Danio rerio: one gene and its partners. The protein of the gene in region 5 interacts with the protein of the main gene of each other region in a biochemical or structural test. Links are inferred from orthologs where the notes say so. Each region holds a gene or a part of one and is shown on either strand. Other genes may lie near its edges. The genes, in order: rnf114, rnf166, atxn3, rnf168, si:ch211-202a12.4, usp19 and parp10.

Region 1 (4,154 bases), on a different chromosome or scaffold from region 5:
CAGATAAATACAGACTTAACTAAAACATAAAAGAAAATAAATTAACTAAAAATCTATTTAAATATTCAAGAATGAATAAAAACACGTAACCTCAATATAAAAACTTTTACAATATCAGCAGCTATAGGTAAGACATTATTTACAATAGACAGCAAGTTTTCTATTCAATTAGCTTCAACTCCTTTGCAACTATCATCGTATTTTGACATTTCTTGCTATCAATACACTGTAGCGAGTATATTTAAAAATTAAAATCTATAATGAATACCTTTAAGATTTAGTATTATTCCTTCTACGGATATGAAATTTACCAAATAAAATCAAAATATTCATTATAAATTCCACAGATAGTTTGTTTCAGTCAAAATAAATTAGCACATGATGTTAAATTCCATCTAAAACCCGATACATACAGAGATAAGTCATCCCAAAACTTCTTTTAATGCTGACATTCAAAAGACTCTGAATGATCTAAACAGAATGAACAATTTTCATCAATTTGCATGAATTTAGATAATGTATTAATACTAACATAAATGTTCAAATCAATCATTCTAAAAAATATCCTCTAGGCTTTAAGGCTCTGTTTAAAAAAATACCTTTGATTGTACATGCTTTACTAAAAAAAATCTAAATAGTGTACACAGGATCAGTTCTATGAATTCTATTTTAAATGTGAATTGTTCCATTGTTTATGAATGTCTGGATTTTTATATTTCTACCAACAAATTTTTTGAGAATAATATTAAATAATACACAACATGTGAAATAATAATTTTTTAAGTAAAAATTGCAACATATAACTAAGAATTGCATTTTTAAGATTATTCTCAATTGTGAAATTGTATGTTAAATGCTAATATTTTGATCTACGTTTCTAACAAGACAAATGCAAGAATTGCGAGGTCAGATGTTGTTTTTAGATTTTACAGGCATTTATTTACTATTCTGGGATAAAAAAAAAGCTATGTAAAAGTTAATTAAGATTTGCGAGATATATAACTGTCACATATAAGTATATTTTATTTTCTATTTGAATGTTTATTTATTTTAATGAATCGAAGTATACTTTTTAGATTACTTTTCTAAAACGTCGCCCGTATTCAAGTTTCACTCCTAAAAATGTTCTACTTTCATTAATTCTGGTAATAAATGAAAGCAATTATTCTAATTTGCTTTGGAAAGACTTCCCCCTTTGTGTAATGTAATTATATATATATATATATATATATATATATATATATATATATATATATATATATATATATATATATATATTAAATATAAATATATATGTAATTAAATATATAGTTTAGGGTAGGCTTAGAAACTTTTTTGACATTTGTAAATCATATACTATTTTCTTTTAATTTATGATGATGTAAATATCCTTATGCATTTCTTTTAAAACATTTTTATTTAAAGTTTTCATTTTTTTTTTCTTTATACTGTGACTAGATTTTGCATTGCCCATCAATAATAAAAAAAGTAACGTCAAAAAAACTTCTACGTTCTTATTTTACAGTCTGATTCAACCTCCAATCGAGTCATTTTCACATTCATTCATTCGGTCGGTCATTTAAAAGAGCCGGTTCAAATGACTCGTTTATGCATCGGAGAGCACTAGCGAGATCTCGCTTATAACTACGCACGTAAAAGACAACACAGCCACAACAGATGTAGCCTACTATATGTTGCATTTATTTGTTAGCAAACGGCTATTTTTATTTGTCGTACGTCTAATAAGAGCTGTAATGTTGTTTCTCGTTCATGTGCATCAGGAGATCAGCTGAGTTGTTGCTCCTCCCCTCACAAAAGTGAATCTCACTGGAGTTCAAGAACACGGAACACAGCGCAGCAGAAATGGCCATGCTCAAAATAGACCCGCAAACCGACGTAAACGATGCTGAAGACGACGACTTCGTGTGTCCCGTGTGTTTGGAGATATTCGTCCGGCCCATGACCACGCAGTGCGGACATACGTGAGTATTCTGGAGAGCTCATGTCTGCTAGCAGCAACTTCTCGGTTGACATGTTGAGTAGTTTAATGTTAATCCCCTCATCACCTCAAAGCGATTCACAACCTTCGTGACCTCCGCCTTAATCTTAATGTGATTGTGTTGGACACTGTTCAGTAAGTGCTGTTGTTGTGCGATTTTTTTTATAAGACAGAAACTGGTTACTTTCAGTTTTGCTTCTTGTGTACAAAACTTTGCAGTGTGGGATTGTGGGAGTTGTAGTGTACACGTAATTAGAACCGGAAAACAACACCCAGCGCCTGTCTTGTCAGATCAGATGTGGCCTTTCAATTACAAGCATTCCTGGCAAACATCAGTTAAAAGTGCAAAATAATAGCATTTACAGAGTATTTGTATTTGGTTAAGGTGCTGTAGGCAGTGTAGGGAAGGCGGTTTTTAAAATGTATTTCACTTTAGATTAATAACGTGTATTTTTAAAAAAGTTAAGTTACTCAATCTGTTTGGAATATTAATTATTAATAGAGCAGTAAAGAAAAGTGGAATCCACAAAACATTAGACATTTTTAATTCATTTTTATTTATATATCAGTTACTCAAAAAGGCAATATAATGATTTTTAATGAACAATTGAGGTAAATTGTACTTATTTAGTATTAGTATTAGCTGCTGAAGCACAGTGATAATTGAAAATGTATACTTTAGTTTGTGTAAAAGTTTACACCCCCTGCTCTTAATGTGAATGTGCTGAGTGTCAGGAAACATTTTCACTTTCGGTAAATGTTTTGCTTGAGTTCGTCAGTAAACATGGGCATCACAATCACACAGTCACTGTTGTAGGGCTGTAAAAATATAAAGAAGACGCAGTAAACTGAAGAATTTGCAGGAGCTGAAGGCCTTTTCTAAACTACAGCAGCTGGTTGAACTCTTCAGGACAATCAAATGACTCATTAAAAACCATCACAAACATTCATACAGTTGATTCAGGGGTGTGTAAACATTTCAACAGGATAGATTTAGTCAGTTATTATTTTGTCTTATATGTAAATATCTAGCTCATGTGGAGTAGTACCAGTGGTGTAGCGGACGGGCCAGCAGGGCACGCTCCGCGGGGGGGCCCCGCGTGATTAAGGGCCCCGCCTTGTTGCGATTTTTAATAATTGAAAATCCGGCAACCACAATAATCAAACCCCTGGGAACAACTGTGGTCGGAACCAAAGTTCCCAGGTCTGTGTTCTCTCAACTCCTCTCAAACGGTGGACTACTTCATTCTGATTGCTTGCCGCCGAACCACATCATAGCATATTACCATAAAGTTGACTTGATTTCAAGTCCTCCTCGATGCCCACACCGGAGAAGACTCGACGCGCTGCTCCTCGCCACCGGTTCTCATTGAAATTGAAGGACTTCCGGCTACTTTGACGCTCTCGCTGCTTGTTTGTGAAGGCTACCCCGCGTCGTCGCTCCACCCCGCCCCCCTTTCCCGCTCCTTAGTTTGTGATGGCTCCTCAGTTTGTGAAGGCTTCCCCGCGTTGTCTTTCCACCCCGCCCCCCTTTCCCGCTCCTCAATTTATGATCGCTTCCTCGCGTCGTTGCTCCACGACTCTCCGTGTCCCCTCAGTTTGTGATTTCCCCCCCATCAGTGGGCCCCATTAGTGATCCCTGCAGGGGGGCCCCCACATTTTGCGCTATGCCACTGAGTAGTACTCAAAACTAGCATTCACTATGATCCATCCTATTTTGTTGAAATTATTAAAATTATTGTATTCTGCAAGGCAGGGTGTGTAAATAGTACTCATAGTACTCTTCGTTATAGTAGTAGTACTAGTCATCGTCATCGTTATGGTAGTAGTAGTAGTGGTGGTGGTGGTGAATGATGCATAAGCTGGGGACACTTCAGCAATGTCCAGTTCATATATTCTGATGAGTGATTTTTTTTGTTTAATTATTTTTTGTTTTCAACTGAAAGCACTCAATTGCAGTGTTTTTCTCTCTCTTCCGCTCAGGTTCTGTAACGACTGCCTTCAGGAGTGTCTGCGGCCCCAAAGCCCAGTGTGTGCCGTCTGCAGGACTGATCTGCGCAAGTGGGCTAAAGATGACCATTTACAAGACCTTATGAAGAGATCAATCGGAAAGTGCAAAGGCTGTAAAAATGAGGTCAGTCAAGTTTACATGGAC
Region 2 (4,112 bases), on a different chromosome or scaffold from region 5:
CATTTTGACCTTAATTTAAGCAAAAGAATAAGTATGTTATGCATAACAAAACTATTAAAGCTGTAAGTTCAACTGGGCTGAGGACAAGGACCATTACAGGGTTTGTACATTTGTAAAATGTTTTTAATAAAGAAAAACAATATGAGAATAAAATGAATGACATGTTTCTTTACAAACCTACTCACAGAAATCATCTATCAGTCCTTTATAAAATAGTTTGGTACGAAATACTTTTTATTCACTGTATTTATGTTTTAATTTCAGGGACAGATAATGCACATTTGCGGTAGAAAATCCCACTGATAAAATTTTACGATGTCACATCGGCACTTCAAAAAAAAATCACCACTATATTGTCCAAATCATATCTTAAACCTGTCAAAGAGCAGTTGTTTAAACTTACCCCGACACAGGGATCTTCTCCTGGTTACATTCCAGACCATTATAATCCTCTTCAACTTGACACATGACGGCTTCCAATTCACAAACTAATTGAAAACAAAACAACACGACGTAAATTCAGTTCGTTTAATGATAAGTCGATTCAGGAAATCATTATTATACAGAATCGTTAAAACAGCACATACTTCACGTGTGAGTTGAATTATGTTTTCCTGACTCCTTTTGATGACGCAATGTAACGTTAGCCACGCCCACACGCTTGCGTCGCTTGTTATTAGCCCAGTGTCTGGCATTAATACTTTAGTTGATGAATACTGTTTCATTCAGGTGTTATTACGGGTTATATATACATTTTGTCATGCAACAAAGGGCCAAAAGAAGACCCGTGCTATATAACTGAGAAATAGCCAACATGCTGGGCTGTTTCGGCTTTCTCGTTTTGTTGTTGTCACCCTACCGCCCTCTTTTCCTAAAAGTTTATTTCTACAAATTATACATTTTCTGTATTGATACGAAACTGTTCATCCCTCGCATCACTTTTTAAAGATTTTATATTTTTTGTTTATGTTATTGCATTTATGCATCGTCTCGTATCGCAAAAAGTATTTATCATTAAAATAAATAAAAACAAATATATAAACGTTAGATTTATTTCTTAATATATAAAAATGTGTATATATTTTTTTATTAAAAGCTTTGGACCTTATTTGTTACATTTTCTAAATTCACTTTGACGCCATCTATCTATGCTCTATGTAATTCTTATAAATGCAATGTTTGGGAAATGTAGTCCGTTTAAACAGTAGCTAAACGAAAATGATCCCTGTTAAAACTACAACTCCCACAATTTTTCTCGCCTAATCCGATCGAGACCGTTCCGTTAAAGCTACCATGTAATGTTTACTTCTTTGGAACAACGGCGTGTCCTCCTTGGTTAACACTGTTGGAGATTGCAGATGCGGAATCTAATGTCGAATAAATCACCTTTTCCCGGCGAGACATTCGTTAAAACCACGGAAATCTATTTGTATCGGCGGTATTAGTGGTTCGTCCTGCGGTTCGTGTGCATGATGGCGATGTTCCGCAGTTTTGTGTCCGCTGCTCAGCTCAGGCAGCATCAGCAGCAAAATGGAGCCGCAGCAGCCGCACCTGGGGAAAGCCTGGAAAGCCAGTTCTCCTGTCCCATCTGTCTGGAGGTCTACCACAAACCTGTCAGCATCGCAAGCTGCGCCCATACGTGAGTATCGTGGCCTTTTGCACATTTCCATCCAGTGTCTTCGTTGATTTACAGGCAAAACATCAATTCTGGAGTGGTCACTTTGGCATTGCCATGTATGTATACGTATGCATATATGTATGTCTGTGTTTACCTTTTACAGTACGTGCATTTAATGTCAAAATATTTAACAATATAACCCGTTTTACCGACCCTATTGTTATAGCTCGTGCATTGCAGTGCACACAAATCACATAACGTTACGCCTCCAATTTGACTTTAATTGTTGTTATTAAATATGACTTGGACATTAATGTCACTCTTCAAAGACGAAATACTGTTCGCATCCCTTTGTGCTTGCACGACTCCAACATCATGTTTCTTTGTCAGCTTTGGGACGTGAAAAGGATGCTCGACATTGCCATTATTTTAATGTGTTTATGGTTTTCATGAGCTTGCAAATTTCTAAACCGTCTAGATTATAAACGCATAGCATCTGTAACAGTTGAGGTAATTAGACTCACTTCCCATCCCTGTGATGCGCAGCAGAGAACAAAGCAAAGCTGTGAGCGATATTTCATACGGATGGTGGCTTTTTACTTCATTTAAAACCGTCCGACTCCTACATAAGATTTGTCTGAACCGAGTAATTATCGACTGATAATTAACTGATGTGTACTAAATGCATGTGAGTTTATCCGAGAACACGGGATTTCTACATTTAACAAAACAAAAGTAGTTCATCTTGGGTTGATATAGAGATGCGTTTTTTTATTTGTGTGGTAACATAATAAGGAGACTGAACAAAGCGCTGGTGTTTTAAAGAAACAGAAATAATCATGCCAAGGAATCAACCTGACATAAATAGCCCACCCCCACCTTTCCTCAAACTTGAGTTGTGAAATGAATCCCTGAATAGTTTCCTTAAATGATTCATTTAAACATTTAGTGAAAGTGAATGCTGTCATTTACCTCATTTTGACAGACGTCAAAAAGCAATGTAAAGTTAGCCTACATAATTCTGTATCTAATACTACATTGCTGTTGGTTTTTAATTATTATATGATTAGTTGATGATGTGTGCAATTGTGTAAAATTGTTTTACATTTTTGTTGCGAGTTAATGTGTGCAATTGTTTTACAGTTGGCTAAAGTAGTTTTAGAGTTCCAGAGGTCTTGACTGAATTACAGTTTTCATATCACGTTTGCATGTATCTAGGCTGCACGATATTGGAAAAATTAACATTACAATATTTTTTTCGGGTGAAGCAGTGGCGCAGTAGGTAGTGCTGTCGCCTCACAGCAAGAAGGTCACTGGGTTGCTGGTTCGAGCCTCGGCTCAGTTGGTGTTTCTGTGTGGAGTTTGTATGTTCTCCCTGCGTTCGCATGGGTTTCCTCCAGGTGCTCCGGTTTCCCACACAGTCCAAAGACGAGGTGAAGGTGAATAGGGTAGGCTAAGTTGTCCGTAGTGTATGAGTGGGTGTGGATGTTTCCCAAGATGGGTTGTGGCTGGACGGGCATCCGCTGCGTATAAAAACTTGCTTTATAAGTTGGCAGTTCATTCCGCTGTGGCGACCTTGGATTAATAAAGGGACTTAGCCGACAAGAAAATGAATGAATGAATGAATATTTTTTTTCCCACAATATATATATATATATTGCGATATAAATAAAATTTCATCAGATGACTCAAATCGCTTGATTCGCTAAGTCAAAACTTTGTTTGGGATGATTTTATAGGGAAGTGAAAAAAAATTATGTAATATATAATATAAATATAATAAACCAACTATAGTCATAAATAAACACAATGAAGCACATATTAAAGTAAAATAAATCATGCTTTACGTGCTAAATGTAATTATCTATCTAGTAATTAATTGCTGAAGCTAACTTATTGATTTATTGTATACATGTTCACAAAGTAAATAAATGTTTTAAATTATTTAAATTGCAAAATGATGATGAATACAAATTCATTTTGTTAGTTATTAACTTCATTTAATAAAATTATTACAACTTTTGGATTTTAACATTTTATTTGCCATTAGCTAAGAAGTTAACATCATCTAAGATTAGTAAATGCTTTTGTAGTTGTCATTACATTGACTTTGGTTAATTTAACTGCGGCTAACAAATAGATTCATAATGTATAACGTTAATGAACAAAAGGCCTATAAGTTATCACAGGAGTTTCAATGTTGTAGCCTAGATTATTTTTTCTAGAATTTGTTGCTGTGCAGAACAACCCCTGAAAAAACAACAATATGGATTTTCCTAAAAGGAACTCTAAAAGTTTATATATTTAATAATCATTCACAGTATTTTGAAGTGAACACGATATCAGTATTGTGGATGTTCATTATTATGATATGTTGAAATATAAGTCTAATGTCTGTATAGGTTTATAACAAAATATGACATTATGGTTAAAAATATATATATATATTTATAGTTTATTATTTGTTTTATTTCGGCTAGAATAAAGCAGTTTT
Region 3 (4,146 bases), on a different chromosome or scaffold from region 5:
CCATGCGCCGCCCCGAACCAATTCTCCTAATGATGGTGTGTTTGGCATTTGCATTTGCATGGCCAGGTCAGTCGTGTGGAGGATCAACTTCATGACTGTATGCTCTGCAGAAACTGCTTTACTTACTCAGAGTTTCTGTCTTGTGTTTGGTCCAAATATCTTTCAATTCTTTAAGAAAGAAGCATTCTCTAGACCAGCACAGCATATTAAAATCACCAGTCCAGCGCACCTGAAATATAAGTGAAAAAGCCTCTATTGAGATGACTATTGCTGTAAAACAGCAGGATTGTGCAGCGCACTTGTGAAAGTCAGTATTTCAATGGTAATAAAGGCTTTTAAACTTTTATCCTCCTCCTCGAATGCCTTGGAGGTCTGATCTTTTAGAAATCTTTAGATATTTGGACCAGAAACAAGATTAAAAACTCTAAGAAGATCATTTTTGCAGTGTAGAAATGAACTGAAATGGTTCTGAAGTGTTGTGTTGGATCAAGACATCGAGAGCCCCTCTCTCTGTGGACATAAACTGTCCTCTGTGTGGTTCGGATCAATGCAGTGTCCAGAACCCCTTCAGACGCTCCAGATTTCTGCTTCTGGATGACTGATTGACTGATTGACTACACGTGTTGAGCGCTGTGGCAGATGTCTGACAGACTCCACTGCTGCAGGATCTGTTTTATTTTAAGATGTTTCTCTCTGCCTCACGGGTCTGCATGTGTTTCCAGGCTCAGGCTCCATCTTTAAACACTCCCTCATTCACATTAACACGCGTGTGTTGGGGTTCACAGTAGCCGTTTTCAAGCTTCCTATAATGTGTTGAGCAGAGAAACTGGCGTGAATGCAGCTGAGCAGATGACACACACACATCACTGAGCAGATGACACACACACACATCACTGAGATGTCTGTTTGATGTTTGTGCTTACACAAATCTACTAGACATCAGTAAAAAGTCATTTGTGTCTTGAAGTGAATATTTTCAAAGTTCTCAAAAGTGTGAATACTTTAAAAAACATTAAATAATCGAATTACCTCATTTAAAACAAATAAGTTCTGCGTTTAATCAGGATCTGTCCACATGAGGTGTAGCGCAGCGCGCCACTGGGCGGCGTTCCTGATGTTTTGATTCGTCACGTGACAAGCAGAACGGTTAGAAAGTAACATCAGTAAATGTCCTGCTAAATTATTTATATCGACTAAACGTGTAATTCAATTGATAGTGTATCGGAGATCTTAATCTGTCGATTTTAAACGCAGCCTTGCCGCAGTTTTTATTCAAAGAGCGCTTGTTTTTAGGTGACTCTTATTCTGACATGTTTTGACGCGTCGCTGTTTCCGTCAGTTCCGTCATTCACACACTTTCAAACATGGAGTCTATATTCCACGAAAAAGTAAGAATCGCTTTCAGATAATGCTGTGTATGAGTGATGTGTAGATGATCTGGGAGAGCTTCTCCTGCAGGAGGGCAGATCTGTCGAGTTCAGTCTGCTGCTCCGGCTTGATATCTCTGAGGCGCTCGTGGACTTTTATCGAGTGTCAACATCCGACACGGGCAGACAGACAGTCCAGCACATGTGTGTTTACCGCCAGAGCGGCTCCTCTTCACTGCTGCACTCCGCCACACAGCGCTGTAGAGGAGGACACTGAGCCTGTAGACTGAGGGAGTGCTGGAGAGTGTGTCTGAGCTGAAGGAAACACGACATGAGCAGAGTTTACACGACGAGGATGATATGTGTGTGTGTGGTGTGTGTGTGTGTGTGTGTGTGTGTGGTGTGTGTGTGTGTGTGTGTGTGTGTGTGTGTGTGTGTGTGTGTGTGTTGTGAAAGAGTTTGTGAGTGAGTGAAACAAAGAAAGAAATGTAGAGTCTGAGTGAGAGTGTGTGTGTAAGAGAGCAAGAAAGTGTGTGTTTATGTTTGTTGACAAAGAGTGTGTAGTGTATGTGTGAAACAGATTTTGTGTGTGTGTGTGTGTGTGTGTTACAGTAGGAGTACTCTGTGCAGCATGATGATGATGATGATGATGATCATGGTGTGTGTGTGTGTTACAGCAGGAGGATGATGATGATGATGATGATGATGATGTTGATGTTGTTGTGTGTTTACTGTGTGTATGTGTGTGTGTGTTACAGCAGGAGGGCTCTCTGTGCGCGCAGCACTGCCTGAATAACCTGCTGCAGGGCGAGTACTTCAGCCCGGTGGAGCTCTCCTCTATAGCACAGCAGCTGGACGAGGAGGAGCGCATGCGCATGGCGGAGGGAGGAGTGCAGACGGAGGAGTACCGCACATTCCTGCAGGTACACACTCACACACACACACACACACACACACACTCACACACAGAGCTCAGGGTCTCAGTGTAACCTGCTGTGTTCTGTGTGTGCAGCAGCCGTCAGGGAACATGGACGACAGCGGCTTCTTCTCCATCCAGGTCAGTCATAGTTACCCGTTACTCCTCACAAACACTACAACAACAAATCAGACAAAGCTGCTGGGACAGACGGAAAACACGAACCCTCTGCTGTCATTCAGACTGCAGAAACAGGGCGGTGATCAGGTGATCTGCTGGATGATGATGTGATGTCCACAGGTGATGGTGATGGTGATCTGCTCATCAGGAAAGCTCTAGTGCTTTAGGAGCAGAGATGAGTCGAGGATCTCCAGTTTGAGCACAGATATGAGAGAATATGAGTGAAGTGTGTGAACACAATGATCCTCAGAGGAAGACATGTGGAGATTTCACCTTCAGCAGTGCAGAACAGCATTAAAGACTGAAGGAGTCTGGAGGAAGCCCTATGTTAACAGTGTCCAGCAGCGCTTCTCTAGGCTCTGGGCGTCTGGGATGGAGCATCACACAGTGGAGACGTGTCCTGTGCTCAGATGAAGCAGAGTTTCAGGTGTTTCTGGGAGAAATGGACGCCGTGTGCTCCAGACCACAGAAGAAGAGGATCATCCAGACTGACACCAGCAGCAGGCCGGCTCTGTCATGGTCTGGGGTTGTGTCGGTGCTCTGGGCAGAGGTGACCTGCTCTTCTGTGATGCTCCAGTAATGCTGAACAGCACAGAGAGATTCTGGACCCGCATTACAGAGTCCTGCTGCGGAGGAAGAGGAGACAGACACTGGACTGGCCTGCCTGCAGCCCCGACCTGTCTCCAATAGAGAATGTGTGGCATGAAGAGCCCGTACTGTTGCCCACATTAAGACTGGTTTGTCTTTAGTGCATAAACAGCTTACCAGTGTGGTGAAGAGGAACAGCAGCAGCAGCAGCAGCACACACTGCTGAACGCTTCACTGACACGGCTCACTCTGACATGTGCTGCAGAAACCAACACTGGAATACGTGGAAAACAAACGATGATGATGATGATGATGAACACATGAATTAAATGTTTATAGAGACCTGTGTGTGTTTGTGTGTGTGTGTGTGTGTGTGTGTGTGTGTGTGTGTGCAGGTGATCAGCAATGCTCTGGGTGTGTGGGGTCTGGAGATCGTCCTCTTCAACAGCAGAGAGTACCAGCAGCTGCAGATGGACCCCATGTGAGTGTGTGAGCGCTGTATCCTCTATGTGTGTGTGTGTGTGTGTGTGTGTGTGTCTCCTCTGCACACACTCATCCTCCTCTGCTGTCTTTCAGGCATGAGAAGGCCTTCATCTGCAACTATAAGGAGCACTGGTTCACCGTGCGCAAGCTGGGACAGCAGGTGTGTGTGTGTGTGTGTGTGTGTGTGTTCAGGGTCAGAAAGGTGTGTGTTTGTTGACTCTTTCTTTCTCTCTCTGTGTGTTTGTGTGTGTGTCAGTGGTTTAACCTGAACTCTCTGCTGACGGGTCCGGAGCTGATCTCAGACACATACCTGGCCCTGTTCCTCGCACAGCTGCAGCAGGAGGGTAACACTCATTATCGTGTGTGTGTGTGTGTGTGTGTGTGTGTGTGTGTGTGTGTGTGTGTGTGTGTCCGCTTCAGCGCTGCTCTTGTCCTCCTGCAGGTTACTCTATATTTGTGATTCGGGGGAATCTGCCGGAGTGTGAAGCGGATCAGATCCTGCGCATCATGAGGGTGGAGCAGCAGCAGCGGCCCAAGCTGATCGGAGAGGAGGAGACGCAGAGGTACACACACACACACACACACACACACACACACACACACACACACACA
Region 4 (3,500 bases), on a different chromosome or scaffold from region 5:
TATCTTAATAAGATATAATCTCAAACAAAAGTTATCAGTATCACTTCATTTTCTCATGCCCTTTTTCTTGTCTGTTCTTGATGGAAGATTTTTTAGATATTTAAACTGGAAACGAGACAAAATGACTAAAAAAACTTTTCTGCAGTGCAGCTATACATGACTACAGACGGAAAAAAATGGCGAAGTGAATAAAAATGTGTCTTTGGTCTTGAAATGCAAAGTAACTCTACCACCGCTGCTTTACTGCTGTTATTAACTCTTTCACTGCTGAGTTTAAAAGATTCTCTCTGGCCCGGGAGTCAGTTTTTTTAGAACATTTACCCTTAATGTTTCCATGGCGACGTACAGCCATGTATGACAGATGTATCCCTTTTATTTAATTTTTTTATTAGTTTTTAGTTTTTTTAATTCAACATATTTACACACTTGCTCATCATGTCATCAACTACCCAATATTCCAATTCACATAAACGTGTAAGTGATCGTGATCTATTGACCTTATTCTAAAATGCGGAAGTGCGCCTGTTTTCGCGATTGTCTTAGAACTTCCGATTCAGTCACCTATGGGAGAAATGACTAGGAATAATAAACGGCAGAAAACGGTCAAACTACTTGCTCTACAAACAAATGTTTGCATGACTATACAAACCAAGTAGAAGAATATAATAAGAAAATATCAAATTGCAACATCAAGCAGCATAATGAGCAGTTTTTAATGTCTAAAAATGAATGGAAGTGAATGAGACCGGAAGTCTCGAGCCAAAAAGATTCAAATGGCAGCACCCGCTCATAGGCGGAGAATAAGGTCAATAACGTGGCGCTGAACTCTGTATCAGTGCGCGAGAGACAGAGAGAAGCCGTGTGTGCACTCCGCTTCGCGCTGAGCTAAAGTTTTCATTATTTTTTTTTTTTTTAATCAAACGTCTCCATGTCGCGTGACACGACGAATCGATAATGAAATTTATTGCCAACGCTTTTAGTAATCGATTTTTATGGATTTAATCGATTTGTTGTTGCAGCACTAATATGTAGTCTTGTTTTCAGACACACTGATCTAAATCATGCGAGTTTAGGCGTCAACTCACTTTATTTTGTTAATTTTCTAATTTTCTCAGACATTTTTACTGCATCTAATGCGATAACGTCATGAAATAGAGGCTTTATTGCTTTAATTTTTGGAAGGGTAAATTTAGACTGCAAAAAAAAAAAAAAGATTAATTTAAATACTTTTTCTTTACAATTATGTATTTCAGATTTCTAAAATGAAACTATGCTCTTCAAATGTTATCAGTTTGCTTTATATCATATCTAAGAAAGATTTCTGTTAATTACAATAGTAATAATTTCATTTCATTCATGCATAAATTACCTTATTAGCCATCAGGGAGGAGTCTGGGCTGCTGTCAGAACTGCTTGGCTGTTTATGAGGCACTGGACGCAAAAACCTGGCATGTAAGAGAATGCAGTGCTTTTCATAACAGCTCTTTCATCACATTTAACAACAAAAACCAGGATGACACTGATGTACTTGGGCTCCACAGCAGCTACTCACTTCTCAATATCCCCCACACTTGGTTTCTTCTTAGCTGGCGTAGCTTCGGCAGGTTTGATGTTGCATGTTGATTCAGAGGCTGGTCCTGAATTCTGCTCAAACAACATAAAATAGATATTAAATAGCTCCAAATTCAAACCGTTTCAATGAGGGTCACAGAGCAAATGAACTAAACCATGCAGTATAAAACGGTCATTTATTAATGTCTGTTTAATGTCCATTATGATTTTTTTTTTACATGTTTGAGCAGAGAGGAGTGTGTCAGTGAACGTGTCTCGGCTCTTGTAATCTCACCAGTTCTAGGCTGAGCAGTCTGGCCAGTTTCTCATCGTTCTCCAGCTGCAGCTCTTCTTTGCGTCTCCTCTCTTCCTCCAAGCGCTCCTCTTCCTCTGCCAGAAGCCGCTGGATGTACTCCTCGCTGGCTCTCCTTTCAGCCTCCTCCAGGGCTCGCTTCTCCTCCACAAGCTGCACAAAAAAACAGGAAATCAGGTGATTAGATGAATTTTGACTTCATATGCGCTGGTGCACAAGACATTGCATTGTACATTAAAGAAAAAAAATCTGAAGGGGTCATATTATAAATTGTAAAAATTAAAATATATACATAAATAAAACTTTGAGGATGGACATTACTCACTACTATTTTTTGAGGTCAGGTAGGTTTTATTTTAAACCTAGCTAGCAACCAAATGTGATAGTGGCAGGGCTCGAAATTGCGACCATTTTGGTCGCATATGCGCCCGAAAATTTATCTATGCGACCTCATAATATATCTGGGAGCATTAGTGCGACTGCAGATAATGGTTGTAGTGCGACCTGTTTTGATTTTTTGTAAAAACGTGCTGAATCGCTCTTCCCTGCCGCTATATTGGTTCATATTAGCTGTCATTCACTCACGGTATTCCGCTGTCAGATGACAGGGAAGGAGCTTTTATGACCACGGGAAATGCAAACGGCTGAAGAGTGAAAACTTAAAGCACACAGGTTTGCAAACCCCACCTAAAGTTGAGGCGCAGATAAAAGCGATCATGACACGTCACGTGGTGAATAATGATCCGCCAGCTGAGATCAATCGAGTACGCGCTTCTTGGAGAAGGTGCCTGAATCTCCATGCGTTGCATTCACTGCGTGTTCAGCGCAAATGTCCGCTAAAAGTCAAATCTAATACTGTACATATCATCGCCAAAGAAGCTCGCCTTTACTAAGGTAACACTGAAACTGCGGCTCATAACAAAGACCGGTATTGCGCCGATGGTTAGCGCAAGAATCCTGCTCAACCTGCTCATAAATTGGGTCGGCTGACTCGCCAGCTTTTCCACAAACACAGAAAAATGAAGATCACCTTAGACTGAACCTTTAAATTGACACAAACTGAAACCAAAACTTTTAAAGAGTGATAGAAGTGAGACTTTACTTATTTTCTTTTGTCTATTCTTTTTTGAGGTGTATATTATTTTTTTATTTATTTACTGATGACTGCTTTGCAGCTTTCATCATTGAATTGAATGATTTATTATAATATTTTGTTTGTTTTGTAGCAGAAATATTATTTATTAAATTGACATGCATATAAAAACAGCAGTACAAAATAAATATTTCTTACTGCAATGCTTCATTTGTTTGATGCAATCTATACAATTATTTTTCATAAAGTAACAGACTTTTTATAGCAGATAACCTACATTCATGCACATTCAAGGCAGCACCATAATGAGAAATGAAATTCATTTTTACTATTATTGTCATTTTTTATCATCATTAATATTCTATGGCCTAATTATTAGACATTCATTTTGGAATTATTGCACACAAATATCAATGTCTTCACAGCATTAGTTAGATAGTTGTTTCTAGTTTTTGTCAGTCCTATTAATGTTGTTTTAAAATACAATAAATCCCTTAAAAAACAATTTGCAGCGGTGCTCATTCATTTTTGGTGGGTGCTCCT
Region 5 (4,117 bases):
TCAATGGTGTCACTTGGCTCGACCTCAAGGGTGATGGTCTTACCAGTAAGGGTCTTGACAAAGATCTGCATCTGTAAACAAATTATCAAAAGAAGATTAGCAATGACTAAAATTTGTACAGATTTATACGACTGATCTAAGATTTTACCTTAAATCTTCAAAAAGAAATCTTTTTGGAACACCACATGTTAGAGTTGTCGCGATACCATTAATTCACGTTATAATACTATACCAGCTGAAGTATCACGATACCATATAGTAATGCCATACTGTAATTCATAACTCAAATTATAAGGAAAATTGTCATAAATACTATATTTTATATGTTATAATAGGTCTACTTGAGTTTCATTAAATGAATGATGATTAAATGAATTTAATTTCAATTAAAGAAATAAGTATTATTTGCACACTATTTCACCTAAAATTTATTTATACTTTGTTTATTTTGTAGATAACTGATCAACAAAAAATACATTAGAATAAAGATACAAATAAACAAAATGGAATTTGTTACGAAAAGAGCATTTTTAAAAAAAAAATTATGAAAGTGATGAAAAATATAAGTGGTCAAAAGTTGTTCAAATATTACTATTTTGGGTTTTTCCATTTATTTTTTTATTTTTTCAGCCTTATCAGGGAACAATCCAAAGTAATTAAAAATATTTTTTTAAGACATTAAGTTGTTTTTAAGAGATTGCTGCGGTTGCTGTAGCTATTAAATCACATTGCCAGAAACAGAATGAACCGCTTCAGGTGTGCGTTTGAAATGTTAAAAAACATGCAACCTTAAGGGGCTCCACAGACTATTCAAATAAAATGGTCTATTGATGCACATATGTGTGAGCATTAATCACTTTCACAAGCAACACTACATAATATAGATAGACCGGTAATGAAGATACTACCGTTTACAAACTACAGTGGCACTGCCAGTATTTTGAAGCCACAGTATCGTGATGCTACCATAGTACCGGTAAACCGTGCAACCCTCCTACCACATATAGTATCTGTCAATCTGAGAGCATAGGCTTAATTCAGGGCAGGGCTAATGTGTTAGCACATCTATTACAATACAGAATGATTTTAGCTCATCCTTTCACAAACACAAGTTCTAAATCTTTCTCTGACCCCCACTAAATGTTTTATTAATCTGACGATAATTTAAAACTTCTCACTTTGAGACTTCCATGACGATGCATCAAGTTTATCATGTGACATTGCAGCCCTGAAGATTTATGTATATAATTTTCTCACTTATTTTGTCATTTTATGCAAACATTGGTTAACATCCTAAATATATTAGAAAATATCATATTCTGATAAATGAATATTATGATACAAACGCATCCATTTCCATTTCACAGATTAATAATGATCATGGGTGCCACCATGTTAGTGGAGGGATGCTGGATTTACAACATGTTAATTTATCAAATTACATGAAAGTGCCTGTTTAACTGGAAGAATAGAGTAAATGTTAGTTACCCTAACAGTTTGAACAAGGACATTGTCACATTGTGACAAATTATTATTAGCATATTAGCAAATTATTAAAATCTTTATTTTATGCCAATATCAATCCAGATGCTTCAAGCTTAAGTTTTTCTATAGAGCACAACCCTGTAGGGGTGATTTCCTCTTACCTGAGACAATAACTTAAGGGTGTCTCCTAGGTAATAGAAATCATTACGTGGACATGCATGCCTTGTAAAAGCTACTCTACATTAACCCAGAATCAGCTTTACAGAAAATAGTTAAAATTGAAACGGGGGTTATATCTATCTATCTATCTATCTATCTATCTATCTATCTATCTATCTATATCTGTGCACTCAAAATTCCGCAAATTTAAGTCCATGATTAATTCTATTTATTTACTAGAGTAAATGTGGGTAAATCTATATTTATTTACTTTTTAATAACAGTAATATTATTGACTTGTATGAAAATGTTCATCTGATTTATATACGATGCAGTTTGTACAGTGATTCTTTGTCTTTTAGTAGATACATTATATTAGACTTGCTTTGTTTACCAAATAAAGTGAATCTAATTGGATTTGCATTTTAAACATTAAATGAAAGTTTAAAAGATATTATTTTTAAATTCATATATTAAGGTTTTAGTTATGATACTCCCAAAATAATTCCGCAGAAATCCGCAGATTTTTAGCAAAATTCTACGCAAAAATAGCAAAAAACGCCCGCAGATTCCGTCTGGTCCTACATATTAAAAATGTTTGTTTTTTAGAAATATAATAAAAGTTGAGTTATGAACTTGTAATTTCATTCATACACTATATCGAAATAGTTATTTATGTTAACATTACCTCCTAAATTACATAAAACAATAAGTTACATAATTAAAAAATTGCACAATGTCATCATTTAAAAACGGTAATGCGCAACAACAAACATGGCCGCTGTACAGTAATATCCGGGTTCTTTGTTCATACAGCGCCATGACTCAGCATAATTTAATCTGACAAACTGCGACATTGAACAATTTAACAATTAAAAAGCAAACGTATCAATTTGGGAAAATAACATCGTATGAGTATTACTCTAGTCAAAGCATTAAGGACTGTAAAATTACTTCTTTACATTTAGTTAGGATGTCGAGGATATGAGCGCCAAAATCAATACAATAAACAGGAATGACGAAATATCAATAATAGTATACCTAAAGGTCTTTATGAAGGTTCTAAATCGAACTGGAATAGCTTTCTTACCTTATAAATATCGCTGAAACTGCTTCTGAAAGTGAATAAGTTCTTCTCTTCTTCGCAGAAAAATCAGCCGATGAAGCGAGTGAAACTGTTTTTATACAAACCCAACAGCGTGACGTTCTCATGTCACGTGAGCGGGTCTTTTAGTAGTCAAAACCTTTTTTTCGTTTGAAAAATTAAAATAAATGTTAAAACTATGGAATTATTTGATTTTTTAAAAATAAATACAAGTTATGTATCAATATTTGAAACGTATAATTTAATCATAAATTACCCATAAAGGAAGTTTCCACAATGTGCTGGAATGGGCTGGACTTGTAGGACAACCTGCAGGCAGTGATTGGCTGGTTTAGTGTTTGTTCGCTTTGCTATTGGTGATTCAGACAAGACCAGGCAAAGAGAAGAACTGACATACTGTATAAACAAAAATAGAACAGTCTGGAAAGATACATCGTATTACAGGACCAGAGATTATACAGCATTATAAAATATGAATTATAGTTAGTTGCGTGGGTTCCAGTGGATGTTTTGGTTGCTTAAAAGAAACTGATTGTGTATGGTAATAATGAACCCTGATATTAACTTCAGGGTACAGCTGAGTAAAGTGAGCAGGCAGAAGAATGGGAGAACAAAAAAAAAAACATTTATAAGGATACATTTGCGTGGAAAACAGAGCAAACAATAAAAATGTGATAATTGCAAGATTATACATTGGTCATACAGCGCAAAAAAGTTTGTGTAAAAAATTAAACAAGTTACTGTCATAAAAATGCTTAATAACAAATTACATAATTCAAGAGAGAATAAATAGAATTATTCTGAAAAATAACTGAAAGAAATCTGAGTAAAGTGTTAATCACACATTAGAATTACCACATTAAAGAGATCATTAAGGTGTCATCTGGATTGTTGAATGTCTCCGGACTGGAAAATTAGGTTTAAAAGTGGTTACAGTTTTTTAAGCCCCCAACCAAGTTTCATACTCCAGTCCTATAGGTGGCAGAAATGCACTTTCTCAACCACCAACAAAAAAAAATACATGATGGATTCCAATCTGAAGGGCTCATTCCTATGCCCTAATCCCTTCAGAGGGTTCCTCTAAAGAGATTAGCGCATAGGGATGAGTCCTTTCGAATTGAGTGTAGTGTGGAAAACCACACAGCTTTCCTGCTCAAAAGATAATTTCCCACCAAAGTATAATTAAATGATAATTGACACCAAGCAGCTTCCCTGCTCAAAGGATAATTTCCCAAAATGTTCATCGGTTTTATTTTTCAAACTCATTTATTCCTAGGGGGGCTTTTGATCACTTCAGTTTGAATGACACTTCAATATGGCGGCCATAATTTTATCACTACGAAGTGCCCTTCAGAGAGCAATGTATCT
Region 6 (3,500 bases), on a different chromosome or scaffold from region 5:
TTGAGTAACTTTCAGTATACCTGACTGGAAAATCGACCATGTCATTAATCTTGTCCCTCCATATGAAACTCCTAAATGAGAAGCGCTTGAGCTGGATGATGAGTACATTCGGAAGACGCCAAAGTAGGAGCTGTTTAGAGGCCTCTCTGTGCTGCTGACACTTAGGACAGTACCTGAATAAAAAAAAAAAATATGATCACACATACAGTTCTATTTGAACACTTTCTATGGGCACTCTGAGTGCGTGTTCATACCATGCCTCCTCAGGGGCTAGGACCTCAGGTTTGGTAAAGAGGTTGAGGCACTGCTCTAAGGTGAAGTGTCCTGCCCTAGAGGTCTCGGTAGCAGAGCCTGGGTCCTCATCGAACTCCAGATCTTTAGAGCGCACCAGCACATATTCCTTCTGCCGCTCGTTGTTCTTCCACACCAGCTCTAGTGTGCACTCATCAGGCAGCTCCAGTACCGCGTCACCTGCAGGAGACAAAAAGATGGTGAAAACACACAATAAGGTTTGGTACTGAAACCCAGAGCCAATAAGGCAGAATCAGAACACAGACTTTGGAGCAGAAATGGTTGAATTTGATGCCTAAAACTTAAAAATAGTTTAAAATATGTGGTGGTTCAAATGACAATAAATGCCAAACAAATCACAATACAACTGGCATAGCAGTTTTTATGAACAAATTCCTCAAGAAAATGACTTCCTTCAGAAGAGCTAATGTGGTATTTTCTTTTCTTCTCATCCCTGAATGATACATATTAAAGTTCTGTTTGAAAGTGCAGCACTGCTTTATTTAGGGGAAATAACCCTGGAAACATTATTTTATAGCTATTGAGAAGTTCAACCTGCTTGTAGAGAGTAAAATCTGCTTTTTGCTTCAGAATTTTGAGGTTAGAGGACATTGTAGTCGTTTTTTGTTGACTGTTCCTTTAAATGCAAATAAGCAGGATCTCCCCACCCACTCATCCCACATGCGTGCGTCACATCAGATAAACAGCAGTCAGTGAAATAAGCTTATTTAATGTTTTTGTTAGGGAGTTTATTCAAGCATTTTAGCAACGATGAGTTACATAAATGCCGTTACAAACACACGTACACACAAATACACACGTTTAATGTGCACTGTTTTTGCACGTCTACTTGCAGCAAATGTGGACATCCATTATGCTACTGTACAAAAAGGATGTAACATCCACAAACCAGGACTCCTGTTGTGTGTTTGTATCCTCGTATAACCTTGTTTATATCCTTGAATATAGTTGTACTAAAACTGTGCGTTTTTGTATTAAACATTACTTTTTACATTAACGGTTTTAAAACTGTTTAAAATTCATTCTTGGGGTGCAGCTGATCATAGAGAGTTGAACAGATCTTTTAATCCCAGATTTTTTTGAAAATCCTGTCCTGTGGACATGTTTGTATGTGCTACTACATAGACATGTTAATACACTCCTGTCAATTAGTTTGGTAGGTGGAAAAAAAACATACTCCTGCATCCCATAGTGGAGGTCCTCAAAAATCACTAAGAACTAAATCCTATTTTAACGTCAGGAAATAAAAAAATTAATTAAAAAAAGAGACTTTTTACACACAGTTCTGTCTAAACAGCTTCCAAAATTTTATTTGGTATCATAGGTGCCCTTTAAATATATATTTTTCCATATAGTATCAGTTCAGGCACTAACCCCAAACATTTTACAAAACAAAACCTCTGACTGACCTTTCTCTTCAAGTTTTTTGTCTTCCTTTTGGCTCGAGTCCAGAATAGTGATGTAAAATTGAGATGCACCTCCACTCGCCGACTCAGAAGGCTGTTGATACCCAGTTACTACAGCTGCCAATGAACAAACAATGATGAACTATAACACCACACAACAACAAAGACCTGAGTGAAGAGCCTTAGACCAACTTACCTTCTGGTTTAACAGCCTTTTCACATGACGTTTCTTTCTCCAGCAGAGAATCATGGGAGCTGGAGGCGAGCTCACAGCAACCAGAGTCAGTGGTATGTGTGGAGAGAGTGTCTCCTCCATCTGCTGCACTCTCCGTTTGTGAGGCTGTGACAGATTCATCCTGCTCTGCTGGGTTTTCTGCGTCACCCGCTGATGGCAGGTCCTTCTCTTGACACTCTGGGACGCTGCTCGCCATGGAAGTCAGGTCAACACGGGACAGACTGGACTCAGGGGACGTCCGACCTGACTGGAAAGGTGGCTGGAACACATTGACAGAGTACCTGCACACAGAACTCAAGACTCAAACAGGGCTACTACTTCATAGCTTTTAAATGATTTTTTAGGTCACCATAGGTTAAAGACCTAAAATTAATCCACACAAAATATTCAAGACTACAAAAAAAAAGTAAAATTACATCATATTCTACAAAATTACAGTAAAAAAGTTAAATACATACTTCTATAGGACAATCCTACATGAATGAGTATATATAATATAAAACTGATTAAAATTGTTATTAAATAAATAAAAAGCAGCTTATAACACTATTAAAACAAAGATGTTATAAAAATACTTAATAAAATTATTATGATACGATAATAATAAAAATATATGCTTTCTAAATAAAAAACCTACACAAAATTGGCACAAAAATGCATACAATGTATAAAATGTACATAAAACCTTACAATCTATTTATTTAAAAAATAAATAAATGATATACAAATAGACTGACAGATAAAGCAATAAATAAATAAATACTAAAATTTTATCAGTGTTTTAATTATATCTTCATCTAATCCTGACTGAATTACACAGATAGGTAAACAAATCTGAATATAGCTGTAATTATACCTAGAGTAGCCTTCTAGAAGCTGTGTGAGGCGAGTGTAAGAAAGTCTAGACTCAGGCACGCTGATTAAAAATGGCTGTCCAATGTTTTCCACATTAGACCGACACATAGTCTTGTGAGAAGGCCAGTGGTTCTTCTGGCAGGTCCTGTAATCAGAAAAAATTCTTACTACCAACTACACCAAAGGCAAAATCTCTAAATCTTATGTGTGATGTCAAAGCCAGAACAACACACAACTCACTGATTGCAGTAGCCGACACGATAACAGCGTGTGCAGCGCTTCAGCTTCTCATCGTCAGAGGCAGGAGGCTTCAGACAACCAGCGCACTTTGTGATTGGTATGCTAGGAATCTGAGGTCTCTGAAGATAAAAAACACATGATTATAGCAAGAAAACAGGCAAATGCTAACAAAAATCGGCAATAGTTAAGGGAAGAAAGTAAGAGCGGTGTAAATGGCGTACCTGCTGGACCTTCAGCAACACCACTCTCTCTTTGATGAGATCTTTTGACAGCATCTCAAAGCAGAAGAGCAGGTCACTGGACGAGACCGTGTCTAAAGATTGAGACGGTAAAAAGATTCTGTGGAACCTGCCCTTCACAACCTGAGGGGAAAAAACAACAAAACATAAATTAGAGTGTATAGAACTTTTCAATGACACACAACTAAAGCACTGTAAATATGTCTGCTAAAG
Region 7 (3,500 bases), on a different chromosome or scaffold from region 5:
TTCCAGCTTTGTTGTTGCTGTTTCACTTTATTATTTGACAGCCAAAAAATGATTATTCAAAAAATGATGTGTATCTGACAGCATTAAGGCGAACAGTGTCTTTTATGATTTAATTAATTTGTAACAAAAATAGTATGATTAAAGAAGAACGGCTAAATATGAAAATGTCATTTCCAAACATAACAATCAAATAATAAAATTAAATAAAACACAAACAGACAAACCTTTGTTTCAAATAATAATACAGTAAAGCTGTAAATTAAAGTAGCTCTAATCAGTTTAATAACTGTACATGATTGGCAGTTGCTGTAAATGCATGCCAGCATTAGGATCTGAAAGCATGTGATTAACCGTAGATCTTCTTGCATGTAATAAGGTATTTCGGATAAGCCTGTGTGTCATTAAAGATGACGAATAAAGTCGGGGAGTTGATCTGATCCGTCACGCTGTGGTATCTGAACGGTACGGCTGAATTCTCCTTGAGCGGAGCTGCCTTCATCTCGTGTTTTCCTACAGTGAACTCACCGGTGAGCACTTTGGCTACAAAAATAAACTTGTGCCCATCTGCATTAGGTGGAGAGTAGGTGTCTGACACAGACAGAGAGGCGTTGACCGCAAAATACACACCCTGACCGTATACAGTGGCTGGAAGAGAAGAAAAAAAATCGAATATTAAAAAATAATTAGTTGAATTAATTCATTTTATTACATTTTGTTTAAAAAACATGTTTGGGGCATTTACACACTTTCAACAACAACAAAAACAGAAAACAGTTTGTTAAATATGTGTTTTAAAGTGTTAGTTGTTAATAGAGATATGAAAATTTTATTGCCTCTGTGTGAACTACAAAAGCACAGTTTAGAGAAAAATAGTGGACAGTGATGGAAAACATATTTTTTAAAATCTGTTTTCGCTTCAATGTTAGTTAAAGATTTAAAGAGCCCCTATTACATGTCATATTTTAGTTTTAGGGTCTCTAATAACAGACTGATTTGCATACAAGGTCAAAAAACACTCTCATTGCCTCATAATATGGATTTATTCATTCATTCATTTTGTTTTCAGCTCAATCCCTTTATTAATCAGGGGTCACCACAGTGGAATGAACCACCAATATGCATTTATTTTTACCTAATTATACTAACCACTCCCATATGATTTGTTCGGCGATTCGTTTCCAGACCCTTCCTTAGCACAATGCTAATTGACTGATTGGTCTGATGATATAGTCTGTTGTAAAAGGACTGTGTTCTGTTACTTCCCGGTGTGGGAATATAAATGTATATAATCTAATTTCCAATTAACAATAATTTACATATAACTGAAAAGTTATATTCTTTGGTTTTTAATTATATCATTTCATTAGTATCCCAGCTAGGAGGGACATTTAACCTTTGGCTTTGTGGCTACAGGCTAAGCCAGGGGTGGGCAAACTCGGTCCTGGAGGGCCGGTGTCCTGCATAGTTTAGCTGCAACACTAATCAAACACACCTGAACATGCTAATCAGAGTCTTCAAGATCTCTAGAAATCTATAAGCAGGTGTGTGTGATTAGAATAGGAGCTAAACTGTGCAGGACACCGGCCCTCCAGGACCGAGTTTGCCCACCCCTGGGCTAAGCCAAAGTGATGCAAATGCTATGGGCAGGTTTTTCGGGTGTTGCTTTTATGCTACAGAAACCCTTGTGTTGATTAACTTGTGAGGTCAGTAGCTGGGCCAGTTCTTTTGCCAATTTCATGCCGACTTCAATACTTTATTTGCATGCTTAGTTTAGCCATCTCCCTTCCTCCTAAGAACACAATATAGACAGAACAGCCTTGTCTCAAATCAGACTTGTGATAGAACTTGCAGATTGCGGACCTCTAGTAGGCTCTGCAGACACATGGACTACGTGAAGACGCTGTATAACTGCAGATTAACCAACACGTCTCAATAAAGGAATTCTTCTGCTTGTTTCGAGTCTCCTGGACTGGGTTCTATATCTTCTATCCCATCATTTATTCTTTTTCAACAACTGTTATGAAGTAATGTTTAGAGCAGGGGTCACCAAACTTGTTCCTGGCAGGCCGTTGTTCTGCAGATTTGAGCTCCAACCCTAATCAAAATTCACCTGAACAAGCTAATCAAGGTCTTACTAGGTATACTTGAAAAACCCAGGCAGGTGTGTTGAGGCAAGTTAGAGCTAAACCCTGCATGGACACCGGCTCTCCTTGACCGAGATTAGTGACCCCTGGTTTAGAGTGTGCGCGATAATGACCACTTCATAGTAGGTCATTATCAAAAACCCTAAATAGGAGCTTGTTAAATACTTTGTTAGTTTGTGTAGTCATTTCTATTAGTTATTTTTGCTATTTGTTGATTTTTAAATGAACTTTTATTTTAGTTACTTTAGTACATTAAGTTAAACAAAATGCAAATGAGAAATTTCCATAGCAACTATCTGAGAAAAGGTTTAATGCATACATGTTAATTGTACGTAATTTTTATTTCAATTCAAGTAACAAACTTGGGTTTAGTTTTGCTTTTTAATCTTTTTAAAAATAAACTTTATCCTTTAATGTTCATACACTGTGTACGGTTGGTGAAAATTAACTAGGTCATATTTAATGGCTATAGGAGTGATTGCTGGAATCAAGACAACAGTAAACATTTAGGGTGATTTCACACCTGTGGATTGATGTATTTGTTCCAAAACAGGGATTAAAATTGTTACAGTGTTGCTCTTTGTTCTTGGTGCGGTTCGCTTTTACATGGAAAAGTTTCTAAATGGATCAAAAGAGCTAAAACAAGTCACGTGTGAGTAAACTCTCCTCACATTGGTAAGAGTTTCACTTTTTTTTTTATTAGAGTCCCGCTCAGCTGTCATGCGTCCTTGTTTTAATGTAAGACGATGAACAATAAGACACTATAAATGAAAAGCTGCGCTTTCAACTTGAATGATGACACCCACAGACATTGTCACCAAGTATAAATCTGAGGTAAGACTTTCTCACACAAAGCAGTTGGCTTATGCATTATAGGCTTTACATTATAAAGAGAAATAACAGATAAATCAAGACTGCTGTTCGGTCAATTTTCCTATTGCATAAACAGCTCTCATTAATAGTTAGCATGCTTTCACTTTCGTATTTAACATGAAATCCACATTTACCGGTAGGAATACCTCCCCCCCAACTCATAAATCTCTCTTCATATAGCCGTATTACATATCCTATTCTAGCTAGGATCGTATCGCTTTCTCACTACAATCGATCCGCTCCAGAGTTTGTTTCAATCGAGTCGAGACCACCTCATCCAGGCGATCTCGGACTGACTGTTTTGGCAGGGATCCAAGCATGATTGCTGGATTCACATATGCCAAATGAACCGCGCTAACTGGGGAAACGAGACAGGTTCCAAAACAAAGGTCTAGGTGTGAAAGCACCTCTAGTTTCTGTAGTACAGTCATTGACCATGAAAGGCAGTATTACCAATATGGACTTCATTAACAATTTTAAATT

What was found.
Region 1: the proteins of si:ch211-202a12.4 (region 5) and rnf114 form a complex in vitro, tested with the Homo sapiens proteins (6 studies listed by BioGRID, with this or other methods). The link is inferred for Danio rerio from reciprocal best matches to the Homo sapiens genes UBC and RNF114.
Region 2: the proteins of si:ch211-202a12.4 (region 5) and rnf166 form a complex in vitro, tested with the Homo sapiens proteins (3 studies listed by BioGRID, with this or other methods). The link is inferred for Danio rerio from reciprocal best matches to the Homo sapiens genes UBC and RNF166.
Region 3: the proteins of si:ch211-202a12.4 (region 5) and atxn3 form a complex in vitro, tested with the Homo sapiens proteins (20 studies listed by BioGRID and IntAct, with this or other methods). The link is inferred for Danio rerio from reciprocal best matches to the Homo sapiens genes UBC and ATXN3.
Region 4: the proteins of si:ch211-202a12.4 (region 5) and rnf168 form a complex in vitro, tested with the Homo sapiens proteins (8 studies listed by BioGRID, with this or other methods). The link is inferred for Danio rerio from reciprocal best matches to the Homo sapiens genes UBC and RNF168.
Region 6: the proteins of si:ch211-202a12.4 (region 5) and usp19 form a complex in vitro, tested with the Homo sapiens proteins (4 studies listed by BioGRID, with this or other methods). The link is inferred for Danio rerio from reciprocal best matches to the Homo sapiens genes UBC and USP19.
Region 7: the proteins of si:ch211-202a12.4 (region 5) and parp10 form a complex in vitro, tested with the Homo sapiens proteins (3 studies listed by BioGRID). The link is inferred for Danio rerio from reciprocal best matches to the Homo sapiens genes UBC and PARP10.

Annotation. Positions count from the first base shown.
Region 1 is NC_133198.1:3,522,264-3,526,417, reverse strand, and holds the start of rnf114 (E3 ubiquitin-protein ligase RNF114), read left to right. Parts: upstream 1-1,354; 5' UTR 1,355-1,863; coding exon 1,864-1,982; intron 1,983-3,982; coding exon 3,983-4,133; intron 4,134-4,154. UniProt on the Homo sapiens protein: E3 ubiquitin-protein ligase that promotes the ubiquitination of various substrates. In turn, participates in the regulation of many biological processes including cell cycle, apoptosis, osteoclastogenesis as well as innate or adaptive immunity.
Region 2 is NC_133182.1:56,248,410-56,252,521, reverse strand, and holds the start of rnf166 (E3 ubiquitin-protein ligase RNF166), read left to right. Parts: upstream 1-1,312; 5' UTR 1,313-1,469; coding exon 1,470-1,639; intron 1,640-4,112. UniProt on the Homo sapiens protein: E3 ubiquitin-protein ligase that promotes the ubiquitination of different substrates. In turn, participates in different biological processes including interferon production or autophagy.
Region 3 is NC_133192.1:59,465,416-59,469,561, forward strand, and holds the start of atxn3 (ataxin-3), read left to right. Parts: upstream 1-1,346; 5' UTR 1,347-1,364; coding exon of another isoform or gene 1,365-1,388; 5' UTR 1,389-1,698; coding exon 1,699-1,731; intron 1,732-2,125; coding exon 2,126-2,290; intron 2,291-2,379; coding exon 2,380-2,424; intron 2,425-3,446; coding exon 3,447-3,532; intron 3,533-3,627; coding exon 3,628-3,694; intron 3,695-3,790; coding exon 3,791-3,878; intron 3,879-3,976; coding exon 3,977-4,097; intron 4,098-4,146. Other genes in the region: gamma-aminobutyric acid receptor subunit rho-1, read right to left, coding at 1-93. UniProt on the Homo sapiens protein: Deubiquitinating enzyme involved in protein homeostasis maintenance, transcription, cytoskeleton regulation, myogenesis and degradation of misfolded chaperone substrates.
Region 4 is NC_133190.1:4,302,428-4,305,927, forward strand, and holds part of rnf168 (E3 ubiquitin-protein ligase rnf168), read right to left. Parts: intron 2,018-3,500; coding exon 1,847-2,017; intron 1,645-1,846; coding exon 1,553-1,644; intron 1,446-1,552; coding exon 1,370-1,445; intron 1-1,369. UniProt on the Homo sapiens protein: E3 ubiquitin-protein ligase required for accumulation of repair proteins to sites of DNA damage. Acts with UBE2N/UBC13 to amplify the RNF8-dependent histone ubiquitination.
Region 5 is NC_133180.1:42,862,283-42,866,399, reverse strand, and holds the start of si:ch211-202a12.4 (polyubiquitin-C), read right to left. Parts: upstream 2,801-4,117; 5' UTR 2,735-2,800; intron 72-2,734; coding exon 1-71.
Region 6 is NC_133198.1:23,061,067-23,064,566, forward strand, and holds part of usp19 (ubiquitin carboxyl-terminal hydrolase 19), read right to left. Parts: intron 3,411-3,500; coding exon 3,270-3,410; intron 3,168-3,269; coding exon 3,049-3,167; intron 2,954-3,048; coding exon 2,810-2,953; intron 2,235-2,809; coding exon 1,915-2,234; intron 1,836-1,914; coding exon 1,722-1,835; intron 472-1,721; coding exon 255-471; intron 174-254; coding exon 21-173; intron 1-20. UniProt on the Homo sapiens protein: Deubiquitinating enzyme that regulates the degradation of various proteins by removing ubiquitin moieties, thereby preventing their proteasomal degradation. Stabilizes RNF123, which promotes CDKN1B degradation and contributes to cell proliferation.
Region 7 is NC_133194.1:13,059,300-13,062,799, forward strand, and holds the end of parp10 (protein mono-ADP-ribosyltransferase PARP10), read right to left. Parts: intron 646-3,500; coding exon 347-645; 3' UTR 8-346; downstream 1-7. UniProt on the Homo sapiens protein: ADP-ribosyltransferase that mediates mono-ADP-ribosylation of glutamate and aspartate residues on target proteins. In contrast to PARP1 and PARP2, it is not able to mediate poly-ADP-ribosylation.